4 linked regions of the Caenorhabditis elegans genome follow. The protein of the gene in region 4 purifies or fractionates together with the protein of the main gene of each other region. This does not show direct contact. Each region holds a gene or a part of one and is shown on either strand. Other genes may lie near its edges.

The links.
Region 1: the proteins of gpx-1 (region 4) and trxr-2 fractionate together in Caenorhabditis elegans (co-fractionation; one large-scale study listed by BioGRID). This does not show direct contact.
Region 2: the proteins of gpx-1 (region 4) and got-2.2 fractionate together in Caenorhabditis elegans (co-fractionation; one large-scale study listed by BioGRID). This does not show direct contact.
Region 3: the proteins of gpx-1 (region 4) and tpi-1 fractionate together in Caenorhabditis elegans (co-fractionation; one large-scale study listed by BioGRID). This does not show direct contact.

What each region holds. Positions count from the first base shown.
Region 1 is NC_003281.10:8,911,943-8,917,014, reverse strand, and holds trxr-2 (putative glutathione reductase 2), read right to left. Parts: upstream 3,247-5,072; 5' UTR 3,235-3,246; coding exon 2,974-3,234; intron 2,926-2,973; coding exon 2,789-2,925; intron 2,743-2,788; coding exon 2,658-2,742; intron 2,309-2,657; coding exon 1,772-2,308; intron 1,722-1,771; coding exon 1,379-1,721; intron 811-1,378; coding exon 662-810; 3' UTR 556-661; downstream 1-555. Other genes in the region: M-phase inducer phosphatase cdc-25.3, read left to right, coding at 32-511; tpk-1 (thiamine pyrophosphokinase 1), read right to left, coding at 3,578-3,717, 3,767-3,878, 3,923-4,154, 4,564-4,644, 4,699-4,865.
Region 2 is NC_003284.9:6,239,040-6,243,402, reverse strand, and holds got-2.2 (Aspartate aminotransferase), read right to left. Parts: upstream 2,421-4,363; 5' UTR 2,400-2,420; coding exon 2,144-2,399; intron 2,094-2,143; coding exon 1,545-2,093; intron 1,327-1,544; coding exon 887-1,326; 3' UTR 694-886; downstream 1-693. Other genes in the region: rml-3 (dTDP-4-dehydrorhamnose 3,5-epimerase), read left to right, coding at 4,345-4,363.
Region 3 is NC_003280.10:12,036,206-12,040,832, forward strand, and holds tpi-1 (Triosephosphate isomerase), read right to left. Parts: upstream 2,935-4,627; 5' UTR 2,928-2,934; coding exon 2,610-2,927; intron 2,387-2,609; coding exon 2,285-2,386; intron 1,373-2,284; coding exon 1,049-1,372; 3' UTR 630-1,048; downstream 1-629. Other genes in the region: cyn-16 (Spliceosome-associated protein CWC27 homolog), read right to left, coding at 489-530. UniProt on the Caenorhabditis elegans protein: Triosephosphate isomerase is an extremely efficient metabolic enzyme that catalyzes the interconversion between dihydroxyacetone phosphate (DHAP) and D-glyceraldehyde-3-phosphate (G3P) in glycolysis and gluconeogenesis.
Region 4 is NC_003279.8:9,778,345-9,782,094, forward strand, and holds gpx-1 (Glutathione peroxidase 1), read left to right. Parts: upstream 1-2,004; coding exon 2,005-2,072; intron 2,073-2,128; coding exon 2,129-2,215; intron 2,216-2,659; coding exon 2,660-2,996; 3' UTR 2,997-3,069; downstream 3,070-3,750. Other genes in the region: F26E4.7 (FAS1 domain-containing protein), read left to right, coding at 1-98, 145-234, 275-356, 742-980; drsh-1 (Ribonuclease 3), read right to left, coding at 3,127-3,174, 3,220-3,343, 3,398-3,750. UniProt on the Caenorhabditis elegans protein: May constitute a glutathione peroxidase-like protective system against oxidative stresses.

The sequences.
Region 1 (5,072 bases), on a different chromosome or scaffold from region 4:
ACCAGAAAGTTAAAACTGCAAATCTTTTCAGGGAGCTCAAAGCCTGTTCAATCCAGAAACTGCTGCAGACTTCTTCTTCAACAAAGATGGTTCCAAGAAAATCAACCGGATACCCATTTTCTACTGTGAATACAGTCAAAAACGTGGACCAACCATGGCGAACAACCTTCGGGAAGTGGACAGAAAACTGAATTCAAATATCTATCCGAGATGTGATTATGAGGAGATTTATTTGTTGGAAGGAGGTTATAAAAACTTTTACGCTTTCACGCGGGGATTAGAGAAGGAACAAAGAGTACAACTCTGTGAGCCAGATAATTATGTAATCATGTTTGATGATCGTTATAAGGCTGAGCTTCGGAAGCACCAGTTCCATAAGAAGAATGTTTCGAAGCCAATGAAGAAATGGAGTTCAACAACATCTGTGATATCTATTCTAACAACTTCTGGAACTCGTATTTCGACACTTCGTCAGACATGTGATCCCATCCATGAGCACGATGCGCATTAAGAATATGTAGTTCCCGGTATCTTTTAAAAAGGATAATCAAATATTTTGTACTATTTATTATGTTTAATTATAATTACTAGTATCCAGGATAATAGGATGTAAATTAACTTTGATAAATAAACTGAATGATTTGTCAATAAACTTTTTGAATTATCCACAGCATCCCTGAGTTCTTGGGTCTTGTCCAGATCGTTTTGTAATGTGAAGCTTCACGAACTCTTCAGAAGAACATGGATGAATGGCAATTGTGTTTTGAAGATCAGACATTGAAATTCCAACACGGAATGCTACTGCGTAGCCTGAAATAATTTAGTGCAATCGGTTAGCTTTTAAAGTTTTCGTATCTTGATCGATTATCGAGGTTGTTAGTATTACCTACCCGCAGAATATTGTGAGTTGATTGCCAAAAGTACGGTACCTGAACTTGACACGATAAAATTTTTTCGCGCCTGTAAAGAATACTGTAGTTTCAGACTCTCGATTCTGCAGAAATTTTGTAGATTTTTAAAGCTTTTTGATAAAAATTTATTAATTGTCTCAAGTTGTGATTAAATCTTTAAAAAATCGATAAAAATTCTACAGCAGCGAAAGTTTAAATTTTCAGTATTATTTAAAGGTGCACACTTTCTTTGCATTAAAAATTGTCGTATCAAGCCGTATTTTTGGCGCAAAAATAGCAGAATTTTGCGTATGTGTAATATTATTCATTCAATAAAGAAAAAGATAAAAAATTCAAAATAACAGATTTAGCACGTAAGTTTTTGCGAACAGATTATGGTTTTTCGAACATTGTTCCAAAATTGAAGGTGTTCAGAAAACATTTTCGTGACGGGCGGGGCGGACTATTTCTCTTTTTGAATCAATTACCTTGAATTACTTCTGCGGCATTTGGTCCAACAAAATGAAGACCAAGAATTTTCTGCGATTCATCTCTTGTACACACGGCTTTCACATAACAAAAACCGCTATCCTTATTCTGTGGCACAACATACTCAAACGGAGTAAAATGAGAATGAAACACTTCGATCGAATCTTCTCCATGTTTCTGAATGGCTTCTTCCTCAGTTAACCCGACGGTTGAGAGTTCAAGAGGCGTGAATACTGTAGTGGCAACTCCATCGAATCGAACTATTTGTTTGGAATTTGAAAAAAGACGATCAGCTAGAAGTTTTCCGGATTGAATAGCAAGTGGCGTGAGCTCTTGGCGATCCTGAATACTATCATTTTTATTTTAAAAAAATGTTACTTTTTTTATCGTACCTGAACAATATCTCCAACGGCATATACACCATTACAGGAAGCTCTATCAAATTCATCTGCTAGAATCTTCCCAGATCTCTTATCAGTCCTCACTCCAGCATTATCCAAATTCAAACTTTTCAAATTTGGAACTCTACCAGCCGCCCAAATAACTGTATCATATTCTTCAACACCACCATTTCCAGTGAATGTAACCTTCTTCTTACTGCCAACTGCTTCTACACGTTCTACTTCCACGTGTTCCTTAACTTTCACTCCAGTTGTTTTCAGATGCTCCATGACAAAATGCACACAATCTCTATCAAAACCCTTCAAAGGAATTGATCTCACAAGAACTTCAACATTTTGATTGAATGCAGAAAGAAATCCAGCACATTCCAATGCAACATATCCTCCACCAACAATCAAAGTTTTTCCGGGAACTGATGCCAGTGTAAAAAGATCGTCTGAAGTGATTCCAAGTTCAGCACCAGGAATATTTGGATATTTGGGACGGAGTCCTGTTGAGATGACTACATTCGGTGCGGAAAGAAAATTCTGAAAATCTAGGATGAAATTTTTTAATTTTCCGTTTCCTAGCAATATTATTATTACCTAAAGTTTGCGCCAAAAATGCGGTACCAGGTCTCGACGCGACAAATTTTTGTCAAATGCGAAAAGTTGTGCCTTTAACGAGTACTGTCATCTCAAACATTTGTTGCTACGGAATTTTTATAGATTATTTTTATAGATTTTATCACAACTTGTTAGAATAAATTATGTTTTTTCGGAAAACTATATTGTCGTGTCGAGACCTGATACCGTATTCTCCTCCGAAAAGCCGCAAAACTTTTGGGTATACGGAACAAATTTTTTAAAACTTCTTTTTTCATTTTTCCAAACGTACCTTGGTTTTATTTTTGTCTGTACCAGTTATCACAATCTTGTCTTTATCCACAAACTCGGCATAGGCATTGAAGTAATTGATTTTTCTAAATTTCATAAAAATAAAAATTTCCACAAAATTAAAAAAAATACTTCTGATTTAATTGAACTCTATAAATCCAATTGTTTGCTTTTACTCGATCATTCACATTCTTTGACAACACATTCCAATCATGTTTGATTTTCTCTTGATCTATGCCATTCCAGCCATATTTGTCTGCGTGTTTTAGCTGGAATTTTGAATTTAGTGCTCTAAATATTTATAATATTATTCCTGCCTCTTTCCCGACGATTGCTGCTTGGTGCATTAACTTTTTAGGAATGCATCCGACATTTGCACAAGTTCCTCCGATTCCCCATGAATGTCCATGTGGAGTTGGCTCAACTGCATCAATTAATGCCACGTTTGCTCCAAGATCAGCTGCTCTTTTAGAACAAGAAAGTCCTCCAGATCCTGCTCCAATTACAATCAGATCAAATTTATTTGATGAGAAGAGACGCCTGATTGGTAGATGTCGTTTGAAAGTGGATAGAAGCATCAGAAAATTGATCTACAAATGATTTAAAGTTGAATTTCAATTTTCATTAGATTTTTGAAATCGCTATCGGATATTCGCAGATAATTCATTAGAATTGGATATTTTTTAAACAAATAACATTGCTTTTAAAATGAAAATTTTAATCTCATACTATTAATTCGTTTTTATTTTTATTAATTCGTTTTCAACACAAAATGGTACAGGGAATAAAGTGTATTATAATATTGTAGATAATTATATAGTACCGGTGAAAACTAGGAAAAATGGAATAAAAAGAAAATAGAACAGTTGAATAGCAAAGGAATGAAAAGTTGTGAATTAAGAGGGACCATAAAATGTGATACTATAGAGAATCAAGTTTGTAGACCCAATTTTCAAGTTCAATTGAAAAAATCAGAGACGACGAAGATTTCAAAAATACTTGGCTCGTGGTAACTTCATTCGACGTGCTGATAAGTTTTCCAAATTCAAGAGCAAGGTTTTCTGAAATGGAAACGTTTAATAGAAATGATGTTGAAACATTGGATTATACCCATTTCATATTTTAGTCCAATTGAACTGACGATTGTCTCCTTTTGAACAATTGGAATGATTCCACACATTTTTGTTGTCATTTCAAGATTGACATCAAGATTTGAATCCCCCTGAATTTAACTCTTAATGTTCACATAGGCCTGCCAAGGATTACTGTAGGAACAGCGAGAACCAAATTTCTAGAATCCAAAACGATCACAGGAGTTTGAGAATCAACGAATCTTATTAAAGATGATAACGTTGACATGGTGTGATCAAATCGTCCATTGAGACCTCCTAGAACAACGATATTCTCGAATTCCCAGCTTGTTAGTGTTTTCTGCTCTAAGCACCACTGAACGCTCTTCGAGAGATCTGTGTAGTCTTGATCAGGCAGATGGACGACTCTAAAACAACATTAAGAACAATTTTCGACAAAATATTTTTATTTTTTTAGTCCTGAACACAGAATGAATAACATTTAGTTGGCAAGCCAGAAATACCAAAAAAAGTGCAAAATCATTATTATGACCTGGTCAATACACTCTTCTCAACGAATTGTAGCTTTCAGTCTTCCAGTATTAAAAACACAACTCAATAATATTTTAATTTTATTTTCAACGTTCACGCCTATATATTCTTTTAGCTAATATTCAACAGCCGCTACAGTAATAATTCTTTGTGATCACTACAGTAACCCTACAGTAATTCTATCATTGCTCATTAATAGAAGATGTTATCAAACATGAAACACGATTACAATGAAGTTGAGTAATGCCTATATTAATTTTTAATTTCAGTAGAATTTAAACTAACTTTGCATTTTTTGTATCAATCTGTTTATTTATTGAATCGAAATCTCCGCAGATAATATGAGGCCATTCGACGAAACTCTTTCTGAAATCCAAAACTCGGTTTACGATAATTTTCAATTTCTGGATCCTAGATCACCTTTTAAGAATCTCATTAACAGCTCCATCAGTTGCAACTCGATATTTGGCCTTATTCCATAAATTTTCAGCGCGATTGCTGATTGCCGTAGGTTCACCGTTAAGCCAAATACATACTGATGCACACGAATCCTCTAAAATTTCGAATGGCTTCAATTTCTTTGACATTTCTCTGCAAAATTTTTATTTTTTGTAAGCTTCCACTTGTGATGAGGGGTTAAAATGTTTAGCTTATTATTACTCTGAGGCAAAAACTTGCGATTTTTGACGCAAGAATCTTTCGTTAAAGACAAAAATGTGTGCGAATTTAATTTTTCCCGTATTTTTTGTTAAAATATGTTTTGATTGCTTCAATTGTTAAAAAAATACATAGCC
Region 2 (4,363 bases), on a different chromosome or scaffold from region 4:
AGGCTTGCCCATTTTCTCAGCTTATCCCACTTATCGTCTTGAAATCTACTGGAACCAATTTCGTATATATTATTTGAGCAGTTGACTGGAAGTAAGTTGTTGATTTGCGACGAGCTAAATACCATCTGAAAATTCACGGCTAGTTTGAGTTCTGTCCAGGTATGATTTTGTAATCTTTGGTTTCAGTTTTTATAAGGCATTTTGAAAACAAGCTGAAATAATTTTTGAAAAAAAAATAGATTTTCTAACCAATTTATTTTGACCCATGACCGTGACTTGAATTTGCAGAATTAAATACCAGAACTCTACGCCCATGTTTCAGAAAACCACACCGATGCGTTTATCTGAAGTCGAAAAGTTTCTGAAAATTTTGTTAAATAATTATGTATTTAACTCTCTAATGTATTTAACATAATTTGATTTTATAAAAATACTTTGTCTTTTTCCTCGAAAATCTTATGGTTTCAGAGAACTCAAAATATGTGCGTGTTATACCATTCATTGTAAGCACACTTCCAACTAAATAAATTTAAATTTGAAAGTGATATTAATTTTTTTTAATTTTTCGTTTTCAGAAAACTGACAATTATATTTCTTTCAAAACAGTTAGAAACACAACGTTTCAGAATCGAATAATTGAATTAACGTAATTGCTAAACAAATATCGTGCATATCATTTTTCAATAACCAACTCCAGTAAAGATTAAGGTCGAAACCCAATTTATTAAAAGTTCCCATTCTCAGAAAAAAAACAGGCTACAAATAAAAATGAGATAAAGCATACTGCCATTCTACAACCGGAGAATAAGAAAACCGAAAACGAGAAAATTATTCTATTATGACAGATAGAATAAGTTAAAATGGGAAGAGTGCATTTGTCACTGATTTACTTGGTGACTTGGTGGAGAGCGTGGGCAAGGTAAGCGACATTGTTCGATGAAATTCCCGCCACCGAGATACGTCCGTCCTTGGTGAGGTAGACAGAGTGTTCCTTGATAAGCTTCTCAACTTGTTGTGGGTTGATTCCAGTAAAGCAGAACATTCCAATTTGGTTGGTAATGTGCTCCCAATTACGAGTAGATCCCTCCTTGGCGAGCAAATCCTTGAGCGTAGTTCTCATGGTGATGATACGATCAGCCATGAGCTTGACATCTCCGAGCCATTGCTTGTTGAGAGCTGGATCCGCGAGGATGCGGGAAGCAATGCGAGCTCCATGGACTGGTGGGTTGGAGTAGAGTGGGCGAATAAGGATCTTGACTTGAGAAGCAACACGAGCAGCCTCATCAGCGTCCGAGGTAACAACGGAGAAAGCACCGACTCGTTCACCTTAAACAGAATAAATTATAAAAATTATGCAGTATTCAGGGTTAGGGCTACAAAAGGGTAGAAAAGATAGGATAATGCGACACCAGTGATATCCGCGTTATCATGGCCTAACTTCCAACACCAAGAAGAAACTGCGCTCTATTGCACAAAAACAATACATTTCGTATTGAACTCCAGCTTGTAAAATTCAAATTTAACAAATTAGTATGTAAACTCACCATAAAGTCCCATGTTCTTGGCAAAGGATTGAGAGAGAACAATGTTGTGTCCTTGCTCGACAAAGTAACGAACAGCGAACGCGTCATTGTCAACATCTCCGGAAGCGAAACCTTGGTAAGCCATATCGAAGAAGACAAACAAGTTGCGTTTCTTCACAATGTCGGAGATCTTCTTCCACTGGTCACGGGATGGATCAACTCCAGTTGGGTTGTGAGCACAAGCGTGAAGCAAGATTGTGGATCCTTCCGGGATTTGAGCAATGTCAGCGAGTGCTCCAGTTTCATCAAAACCACAGGTGGACTTGTCATAATAGCGGTATTGCTTGACATCGACTCCGGCAAATTTGAAGATTGGAACATGGTTTCCCCAAGTTGGTGTTGGCTGGTAGATAACCTTGGTCTTGGCGTACTTAGAAAGGAACTCAGATCCGATTCTAAGGGCTCCAGTTCCAGAAATGCTCTGAGTGGTGAAGATTCTCTTGTTCTTGATCACATCAGAGTTCTCTCCAAGAGCGAGTTGAGCAGAGAGCTTGGTGAACTCGGGAAGTCCTGCAAACAAATAAAGAGTTCAAATGGATCAATAAGTTTATAACACTCACCAACAATTCCGGCGTACTCCTTATCAAGATTGGCAGCGATCACTTGACGTTCAGCTTCCTTGACCGATGGGAGAACAAATGGCTTTCCTTGATCGTCACGGTAAGCTCCGACTCCAAGGTTGATCTTCTTTGGGTTTGAATCGGCTTTGAAGGCCTCGGTGACTCCAAGAATCGCATCTGGTGGTCCCATCTCAACATGCGACCACCACGACTTTCCTCGCACGGCGGTAGAGAAAAGCTTCTTGGAAACGCTCATTGTTGATTGGAGAAAGATTACCTGAATATTCAATATTAATGTTTCGAGTGGGAACTTAAAAGACGTTTTGAAAGTAGGCGTGGAAATCACGTTCCGATTAGAATGAAGCAACGAAACATTGATAGCAGGGAAGACTAGAGTACGTACAACGCATGATTCCTTATCCGAAGAAACAAAAATAAAATAAAACGTGGGTATCATTATCTTTACCAGGACAATTATTTGAGTGTTCAATGGTGTTTGAATGGGCTGATTGGACACTTTTTTTAAATTCAAAAAAGATACCCTAGGACACTCCATTCAGGGTACTAACCACATTTCTAGCCTTTAGCAACGGCGTGGCATCAAACTAGGCTAAAATTGTAGTTAAACTTATTGACTCTATCAAAAACAACTGATGTGAAACAACAAAATGGACCGACTGCACCGCCTATGAAAGAATGGACGCGTCTGCTCATCTTATCCCAGTCCACGAACTGGCAAGGAAGACGACAAGTGAGAAGAACTGGAGAAACTAGGTTAGAGAGTACGGAGATTCGAGAGAGTGTAGGGTGGCAGAGGAAAACTCGGGCGGCCGCGGCAACGTGAGAAACATGCGGTTCGACGATTCAGTCGTTTTTGTGTAACTCGGCGCTCGAGAACTGGTAAACAGTAAGTAAACTGCGTTCGAAAAAAAATATAAGAAAATCGCCGTACTTCGGTCGTGAAATTATTTGTTTAAATAATATAATTTTTTAAACTTTTCTATTAGCAGCACCGTGTTCGCAAAAAAAAATCTCAAAGAATTTTTGATGAACGGAAAAAAAGCGACTAATGACTGTAAAAAGGCAAGGAAAAACTGAGGCCAACAAGATAAATGAAAAAAAATTTGGTTGTTGTTGTGGTTCGTCACTCTCAAAGGTTCGATATTGTCCGCGCGCGGCCGGAGAACACAGGTTGGTAGGTCAAAAGTGCTGGTGGCACACGGATATTGGAAGTCTTAAAATTCAAGATGGTGTCTTACTTCAAAAATTGAATTTGGGATAGCAAAAAAAAATAAATTTAAAGTACAGAAAAAATATAAAACATAGAAAAAAGTTAATGAAAAATGGTTTTTATATTAACGTTTGGACGTTTGGAAAACCGCTCAAAATTGTGTGAAGAATTTCGGATATATTCTGGAAAGGAATCCACCAAAGTGTTGGAGTTTTTTCCCGTCATTTTCAAAGATTAGGACAATTTTTGAGTTTTTTTTTCGATTGTTCCAAATAAAAGGAAAATGATTTTCAGATAAAGCAACCAGTTTTCTATAATCTTTAACTAAGGTATAATTTTTATTTTTTGTTGAATTGCTTGTCGGAAATTATAGCGCATCCACGGTCGATAAAATAAAATGTAAATTGTAAGATGGTTTAAAAAATTTTTCTAACATCTGGAAACAAAAACGTTTACAACTGAACTGCCTGTGAGTATAGTGTTATCATTTTGGATTACCTCTTGTGAGCAAACTTCAATACATTCAATTCTGATAAACAAAACCTAGCACACGTCACACTAACCTGTAGTGTTCAGATAGAGTTTTTTGAAAATTACTTTTAGATTGTCGCCCGAATTTTGTGTAATTCACTTTGTGTTACAAATTTACAAATTGTTCAACATTTGTGTGACTTTCACGTGGACATCCGTAAACATTTTGAGTCCTTTGTTTCTCTCAATTTTTCTCTCGATTTGAGTGCAAAATGATTTTTGCGATAAATATGAAAGAAACTCCAAATTTTGCCTAGCCTAGAGAAAAGGATCTATTGTCTCCGGGAGGTTTCGTATCGCGGAATCGAGACCGGCCTAGAACAGGATCTGTTGTCGGGAAGAGATGAGATTTCTAGGACACGATATGAACGATGTCAAGGCTAAAAAGGTTGCCTTTCTCGAGAAGAACCGTTCATTCTTGCCTGACTCGCATTGAATAATGTCGCATCCTACTCCAG
Region 3 (4,627 bases), on a different chromosome or scaffold from region 4:
ATGACGAATTCTGCGATTTTCGCGCCAAAACTACGGTACCTAGGGTCTCGAAGCGACACATTTTTGTTAAAAAGATGTGCGCCTTTAAAGATTACTGTAGTCTCGAATTTTTATAGATTTTTTGATTAAAAAAATGTTCAAGACTACAGTACTCTTTAAAGGCGCACACCTCTTTGCAATAAACAAAAATTGTCGTGTCGAGACCAGGAAACGTAGTTTTGGCGCAAAAAGTGCAAAATTGGTCGTATTTTTCAATAAATTATCCAAAATTTTTCGAAATTAGCCAATTTTTAGATAAAAAAAACTCAAAATTTTCGTTTTACAGCTTAAAAATTGCAAAAATACGCGAATTTTTCATCGGAAAAATCGAAAATTTCACTGGATTTTCGATTTTTATTCAAAAATCGATAAAAATTGAAATTTTCGGTCATTTTTTCTGGAAAATTCAATTTTTTCCACCAAAAATCGATAAAAATCAATAATTTTACCTTTCCCGTCGTAATCGGCTCGTTGATATATTGATTACTCATCTGAAAACTGAAAATTTTCCGCAAAAATCTGAAAATCGCCGGCTGAAATATTCACACAGAACAAGTAACTATTGTTTGAAAATATCGATTTTTTGTTATTTGTCGGCAAGAAATTTATTTATATAAATATATATAGGTTTTGAATATCAAAAATACTGGAAAAAAAAGCTGCTACTAATATCTACACTGTAGAGAGGAAAAAGCCAAATTTCAAGCCAAAAAATTCACGAATTCACCCAAATTTTGGATTTTTTTCGGTCAAAATTCCGGGAAAATTGATGAAAATCAGCTAATTTTACAATATAATTTAGAGGAAATCTGGGGGAAAATTGGGGAAAACTAAGGGAAATTCTACAATTTTGAAGCTGAAATTCCGGGAAAAATCAGCTAATTTTACGGCTAAAAATTAGGGGAATCAATGAAAATCAACCAATTTTACGACCAAAATTTAGGGGAATCGGTGAAAAATCAGTGGAAATCCGGAAAAATCTGTGAAATAGGGGGAAATAAATAATAATTTAAGATCTGGCGTTGATAATCTTGACAAAATCGGGTTTCAACGATGCTCCACCGACCAAGAATCCATCGATATCCGGCTTCTTTCCAAGCTCAGCCGCATTGTCAGCAGTCACAGATCCTCCATAAATGATTCTCGTGGCATCGGCGACAGCTGGTGAGACCTTCTCTTTGAGGAATGCACGGATCCATTCATGAACCTCCTGGGCTTGTTCTCCAGAAGCAGTCTTTCCGGTTCCGATGGCCCAAACTGGTTCGTAGGCGATCACAATGTTCTCCCAGCTGACACCCTTGTCGACGATGGCTTGAAGTTGACGGAAGTTTACCTGGAAATTGGAAAATTTGGGTCTCGAAGCGATCGATTTTTGAAATTTATTTTTCTACAACATTAAAAAAAATCTTTATTTATAAGGAATTGGGTATTATTTTTCAGGAATTTTTTGTTTCAAATTTTATCGATTTTTCGAAAATTTTATATTCTTCGGGATTCTTTTTTTTTTTTGAATTTTTCGCGTTTTTGGGAATTTAAATTTGTATTTTTATATAAATTTCACGAAAATTCATTAAAAAATCGGGTCTCGAAGCGATTATTTTTGAACTTTTTTTGTTTTACCACGTGGAATAGGGAATTTAATCGATTTTTCGAAGATTTTTAAATAAAAATGTTTCTTCGGAGATTTTTTTTTGAACTTTTCTGCAAAATTCAAGAAAATTCATAAGAAATCGGGTCTCGAAACGACTATTTCAGGAGTTTTTTCTTTTTTATTGCCGGAACCAATTTTTTTGTTGAAAATTTGGCAAAAAAAAAAAGAATTATTTTTGGCGACCATTTTTTGTTGGAATTTTCCGCTTTTTTGGAAAATGATAAAATTAAATGTTTTCTGTTCAAAATTCACGAAAATTCATAAAAATCGGGTCTCGAAGCGATTATTTCTAATATTCGTTGCAGAAAGAGAAATATTGCGTTTTTTTTGAGGAAAAATTGAGCTCAAAACTATAAAATTCAGGGATTTTTTAAGAAGAAACTTTGAAAAATTCCCGAAAAACGTGCAAATTCGAAACAAAACCATTTTGGAATTTTCAAAAAATCTCAAAAACTTGATTTTTCTACTGAAATATTAGAAGAAATCGATTTTCTACCCGAAAAAATTAAGAAAAAAAATCTGAAAGTTTGAAAATGTTGAATTTTCAAATTTTCTTGCGAAAAATCGATAATTTCCAGTATTTTGCTCCCTTACATCCTTGGTGTGTCCGGCTTCACGCTCCTCGAGCTTCTCCCCAATGCAGAAAACGACCTTAATTCCAGCCTCGAGAGCATGCACGGTCTTCTCAGCGATCAGCTGAAAAAGAAATTTCAGATTAATTTCCCTGAAACTCGAATTTTTTATTGACACTTGGTGTCAGGCTGTCTCATTGCGGTTTGATCTACAAAAAATGCGGGAATTTTTCTGCCAGAAAAATGTGACGTCAGCACACTCTTGCGAAATCAGTGGAAAAGTCTGCGTCTCGAGAAGATCTTTTCCCGAATTTTTCGAAGATCAAATCAAAATGTATTAAACTAACAGCATCGCTTTCTCCAAAGACATGACGACGTTCCGAGTGTCCGAGGATCACCCATTCCAATCCAAGATCCTTGATCATTGCCGGCGAAATTTCCCCGGTGAATGCTCCCTTTGGCACTTTGTAGCAGTTTTGTGCGGCGACAAGCACACCGGCTTTAAGCTTGGATTTAGCGTAGGCCAGATATGGAGCTGGTGGAGCAACGACGACATCAACGGAGGAATTGTCGGCTGAGGCGTTGAGGAAGGTGACGATACCATCGACGGAGGCATAGTCTCCGTTCATCTTCCAGTTTCCTCCGACGAAGAACTTGCGAGTCATCTTGATTCTACAAGAATTATGGAATTTTTTTGTTGGAGGGAAATTTGGATAGAAATTCAGAATAAGGAGGAGAAAACGATAGAAGAATTGCTATTCTTTGTGAAACCGAGAGTATCGATTTTCCCGATTTTCTTGCCCTGTATTCTTTTCAAAAAGTGGCTCAAATTTAATTTTTAAAAATGTCGTCTCGAGACCTGGTATGGCTCAAAAATCGTAATATTTCGCCTCTAGCTAATTTAGTATTGATTGGCAAATGTAAGAAAAGTATATAGTTCAGCAAAAACTTAACTATCTAAAGATGGTCTAGTCGAACGTTTTTTATTGTTTAAGTAGTCTCGAAATAGTCTAAAAACACCGAATTTCATAATGAAACTTCTTGAAAACTCCTCCAAAAAGTTATGGCGGCTCAAAAAATTACCTGAAATTAGTTAAAATTTGAAATTTAACCGACTTTTCAAGCGGCTAACTTTTTTGAAATAACCGTCTAATTTTGGGTATACAAGTTAATTTCTTGTTGCAGTTTCAACTCGATTTTGGTACATTTAAGCTCGATGTATCCCCCAGATGTTACCAAATTTAACCAAATCTGGTGACAAATCGACCTCAAATATACCTAAATCGAGTTGAAAACGCAAGATAATTAACTTATATACCCATAATTAGACGATGATTTCAAAAAGTTAGCATCCAGCCGCTTGACAAGACGGTCAAATTTCAAATTTTAACTAATTTCAGGTCATTTTTTGTACCGCCATAACTTTTTTTGAGAAGTTTTCAAGAATTTTCATTATGAAATTCGGTAATTTCAGATAATTTCGAGTCGAACACAAAAGGAATTTTTGCTGAACTATATACCTTTCTTACATTTGCCAATGAATACTAAATTAGCCAGAGGCGAAATTTTACGATTTTTGAGACACACCCGGTCTCGACACGACAAATTTTCATTAAATTCGAGTCACTTTTCGACAAGAATACTGACAAGAAAATCGTGAAAAGTCGATACTCTAGAGTCTAGGCAAAAATTAAAAATGACGCAAATGACTTTCGAAAATCGTGATCAATAGCCAACGTTTGATAAGGACGAGAGATAACAATGGAAAATCGAATTCGACATTGTTTTTTCGAAACAAATTTCAATCGAAATCAAGACTACACAACAAGTGAGATAGCGGGGTTTCTTCGATTTTATTTTTCTTTTTTTTGGCTGGCCAGCAGCAGCAGTCGAGAGAAACGAGACGATACAGTGTAGACAATGAAGAGACGGAGAGAGAAGGCGCAGTCCGAGTTTGCACGTATTTTGTAATGTTCTGAGTAGTGTGTGTGTGTGAATGGCAGAAGAGTGTTTGTGGATAGATTCGATTGGGAAGGGTTATTACGGGAGCACAAAATTCAGAGAATACGTACTGCACAACATATTTGACGCGCAAAATATCTTGTAGCGAAAACTACAGTAATTCTTAAAATGACTACTGTAGTGCTTATGCCGATTTACGGGGCTCGATTTTCAAAATGGATGCTTAGTTTTAATATTCTATTTATTTCAAAAAATCGAGCCCGTAAATCGACACCAGCGTTACAGTAGTCATTTAAAGAGTTACAGTAGTTTTCGCTACGAGATATTTTACGCGTCAAATATGTTGTGCAATACGCATTCTCATAGTATTTTGTTCCAGTAATATATATTTACAGGAAAATAT
Region 4 (3,750 bases):
GCAACTTACAACTTCGATACTCAATGGATCCGTGGCAAGTTCTTACACCTGAACAAAATTTCACTTTCTTTGTACCAACTAATGAAGCGTGGCATAAAGTGAGTTGGGAAAATTCTAAATGCAGTTTCACCTATATTATTACAGCAATCAACTTCACTTGTTGCTCGAATGAATGATGGAAATCATTGGCAAGCACTGCAGTATGTTTACAAACGGCATATTGTGCAGGGACAGGTAGATTTAAATCTTTGAGTCTAAAAAAAACAAGTTTCAGGCATTAATGTACACAGATCTTCGTGAACGAACCTATGTAATGATGAATGATGAAAAAGTTGTGATTAGGAGAAGAGGGAGATGTGAGTTTCTTTTTGATTTTTAAATCTAATTTTTAACACTTTGCGTTCAAAAGATCAGCAGCTTCATTTAAATATTCAAATCCTCTGTGCAAACAGTAAGTGGACAAGTTTTTCCGCTCAATTCACACATTGTGTTATTGGCAAGGATAACACAAATGACAAAGAATGAGAAACATCTTTAGAACTCTATCATGGGGCTATGATTCTCGTTTGAGCTCTGGGAAATCATTTTTGGCAGTATGACGTCTCGTATAATTTTCCATACATTTGGTGAAAAGTTTTGCAAGATTTGACAGCAATAGAAATAGTACATGTTAGGAAATTTAGACAGATTTTAGGCGCAAATAATTTACGAATTCCATACAATTTCAATAATAAATTTCAGTCTTCGAGTTGTATTGGCCACGTGGAGATCGTCGAGCACAAGTACTAGAAGGTGGTGAAATAGCAGGAATCAATGGATATATGCATATGATTGATAGTGTTTTAATATATGAACCGGATCTTCGAGCTCATGCGTGTACAACTGAGCCAGTGTTCCTCCAATTTCTTGTAGTTTGTCTGGTTATGGTATGGCGACCCGGATGGTTTACTCCGTTTTACACTGTATTCTTCTACAGATAATTCATTTTATTTCTGTGTTTAATTTTTCAATTTAACGTGCCATCTGACATTTAAATATTTGAAACGGGTAGATATATTGAACCGCATTTTAGATATCATATTTCAGTCATTTTATCCATTTCTTTCTATCTATCAAATTTCTTTTGTTTTTTGAAAACATTCTATCTCGGTTATTTTAATGATCTGCATTGGTTTTTTGATAAAGCTGTCAGGGATATTTTTCTTAATATTAGGTAAACCATATTCTGATTGGAACACCGTTGACCGAGGTTATAAATGTCTTTGATTTACAAGTAGACTAGGCCACCAAATTTTTTTTGCAGCCACGTTGGAAATCTTGTGAAGTATTCAATTTTCAAAATAATCAAAATGAAGAACTACTAATTGTAATTTTAAAACAAGTTAGAACAACTTATTTTCTGACAAAAGAACTAAACTTTGAAAAATTAGTTCTATTGTATTTTCACAACTTTCTAAGCCGCGTAATAAAAGCGCATGGGTTTTTCGGCTAGGTGACACGAAAAAAAGTTTGTGGTAGCGAATTTTGTGGTAGTAGAATTTTCACTAATCTTTGAAAAACCAAATAAAACACGTTAAATCTAGATCAAGAACAAGAACAACAACTCCCAAAAAAGTTAAATAAATAAATCATATCAGAAATGCAACAGTAACATTTCTTTACCATCAACTTTCTATCGCGACAAGACCCATCCGAATAAATACGTGTACAATTAAGTACGCATTACAGAAATTTTCTGAGTACTGAAAAACTAAATAACCATGAAACTATTCGAACCCGAGTCTATTCTTTGTCCAGTCACAAAACACTACAACGTAGCCTATTCGTAGCTAGAGAGACGGAGACTTGTCATCATATTCATGTGGTTTATGCCTACTCGCGTATTTTCTTGCTCCAAATAAATTGTCATCATTTGATTTGTGTTCTATTACTTTTTCGTTTCATTTATAAACCATTTTCCTAAATAATTTCGCAAAAAAAAAATCATTTCCAATTATTTTTAAGATGTCTTCGGTTTACGATTTCAACGTCAAAAATGCTAATGGTGATGACGTGTCACTTTCGGATTACAAGTGAGTTATAGAGAAAACAATGAAAATGGATATTCAAAATTGATTTTCTTTTTCAGAGGAAAAGTTCTCATTATCGTGAACGTCGCTTCACAGTGTGGACTTACCAACAAGAATTATACACAACTCAAAGAATTGCTCGATGTGTGAGTTTGAAATGAAAATATTGCCCAATCGCGAAATATTCCGATAAGCTCCAAAAAAGCGGTGTCCGGTCTCGAAAAGACAATTTCTTTGCTAAATGCAAACGTGCTTTTGAAAGGACTGTACATACTGTAATGTACTGTATTGAAAACTTTTGTTGCTATGGAATTTTTATCGATTTTTCATAGTTTTTCTCACGATTTGTTTGCAGTTATGTGTTTTTAATTATTATTAAGTTTTTTATTTTACTTTTTTATTGAATACATATTTGACGAAAAACTATAAAAAATCGATGAAAATTCTGCAACAACACAAGTTTTTAATTACAGTACTCTTAAACGCGCATATCCGTGTATTTTTGTTTTTAACAAAAATTGCCGTGTCGAAGCGCAAAATTTTGCGGCTAGATAAGATTTCCATTTCTTTAAGACGACAAAATATTCCAGGTACAAAAAGGATGGTCTCGAAGTTCTTGCCTTCCCTTGCAATCAATTTGCCGGTCAGGAACCATCGTGTGAAATCGATATTCAAGCATTTGTCGCTGACAAATTTAAATTCGAACCAACACTTTTCCAGAAGATTGATGTGAATGGAGATAAACAGTCACCACTTTTCAAATTTTTGAAAAATGAGAAAGGTGGATTCATGTTCGATGCAATTAAATGGAATTTCACAAAGTTCTTGGTTGGACGCGATGGGAAAATTATCAAGAGATTTGGACCAACGACTGATCCAAAGGACATGGAAAAAGATATCAAAGAAGCACTTGGAGAGAAATTGTAATTTATTGCAGCAATTCAAACTTTCAAATTCAATTCGAAACAAAAAAAAACATACTTAAAATAAAGATATGATATTCATAAATTGAACCGAATCACATTCAAACAGACATAGTATAATTATAACCCCGTAATTAGTCGCTGGTATCTTGTTCAAGACGACGGCGCATGTTCTGAAACCACTTGAAAAGGTGTAAGAAATATATTTTGCTAAAAATAAAACTAACACTATTATTTTTCGCTTTCATCTTCGAAAAGCTCATCGACTCTAGATTAGCCAAAGCCAGCTCAGCCACCCGTAATTCAGCTTTATGAACGTTCGACTCAGCAGCGGATGCCAAACGTTTACCCCTGAAATAAATTATTTATTGCTTGTTTAGTACTGCAAAAGCGTTTTTAACTTACTTATAATATACAGCAATTTTGAAAATTCGATTATTGGTTGGTCCTTCGATTCCAAGTACCCGATATTCTGGCATATCTGGTTCCGAACTACTTGGATCACGCATTGCAAGACACCATTGCTGGAGATGTGACTTAGCATCATTCCATTTCTCGCTTTCGATAAAGTGTTTCAGTCTTGGACAAAATACAATTCTGATGAAAGCACGACAATGCTCGATTCCACGATCTACATAAAGAGCTCCAATAAATGCTTCGACAAGATCTGCTTTATCCTTTAGTTTCAACTCTGGTGTTTTATAAGGTGCTTTTATCACAAATTCAGTGAATCCAAGATCATCACAGACGACAGCTTG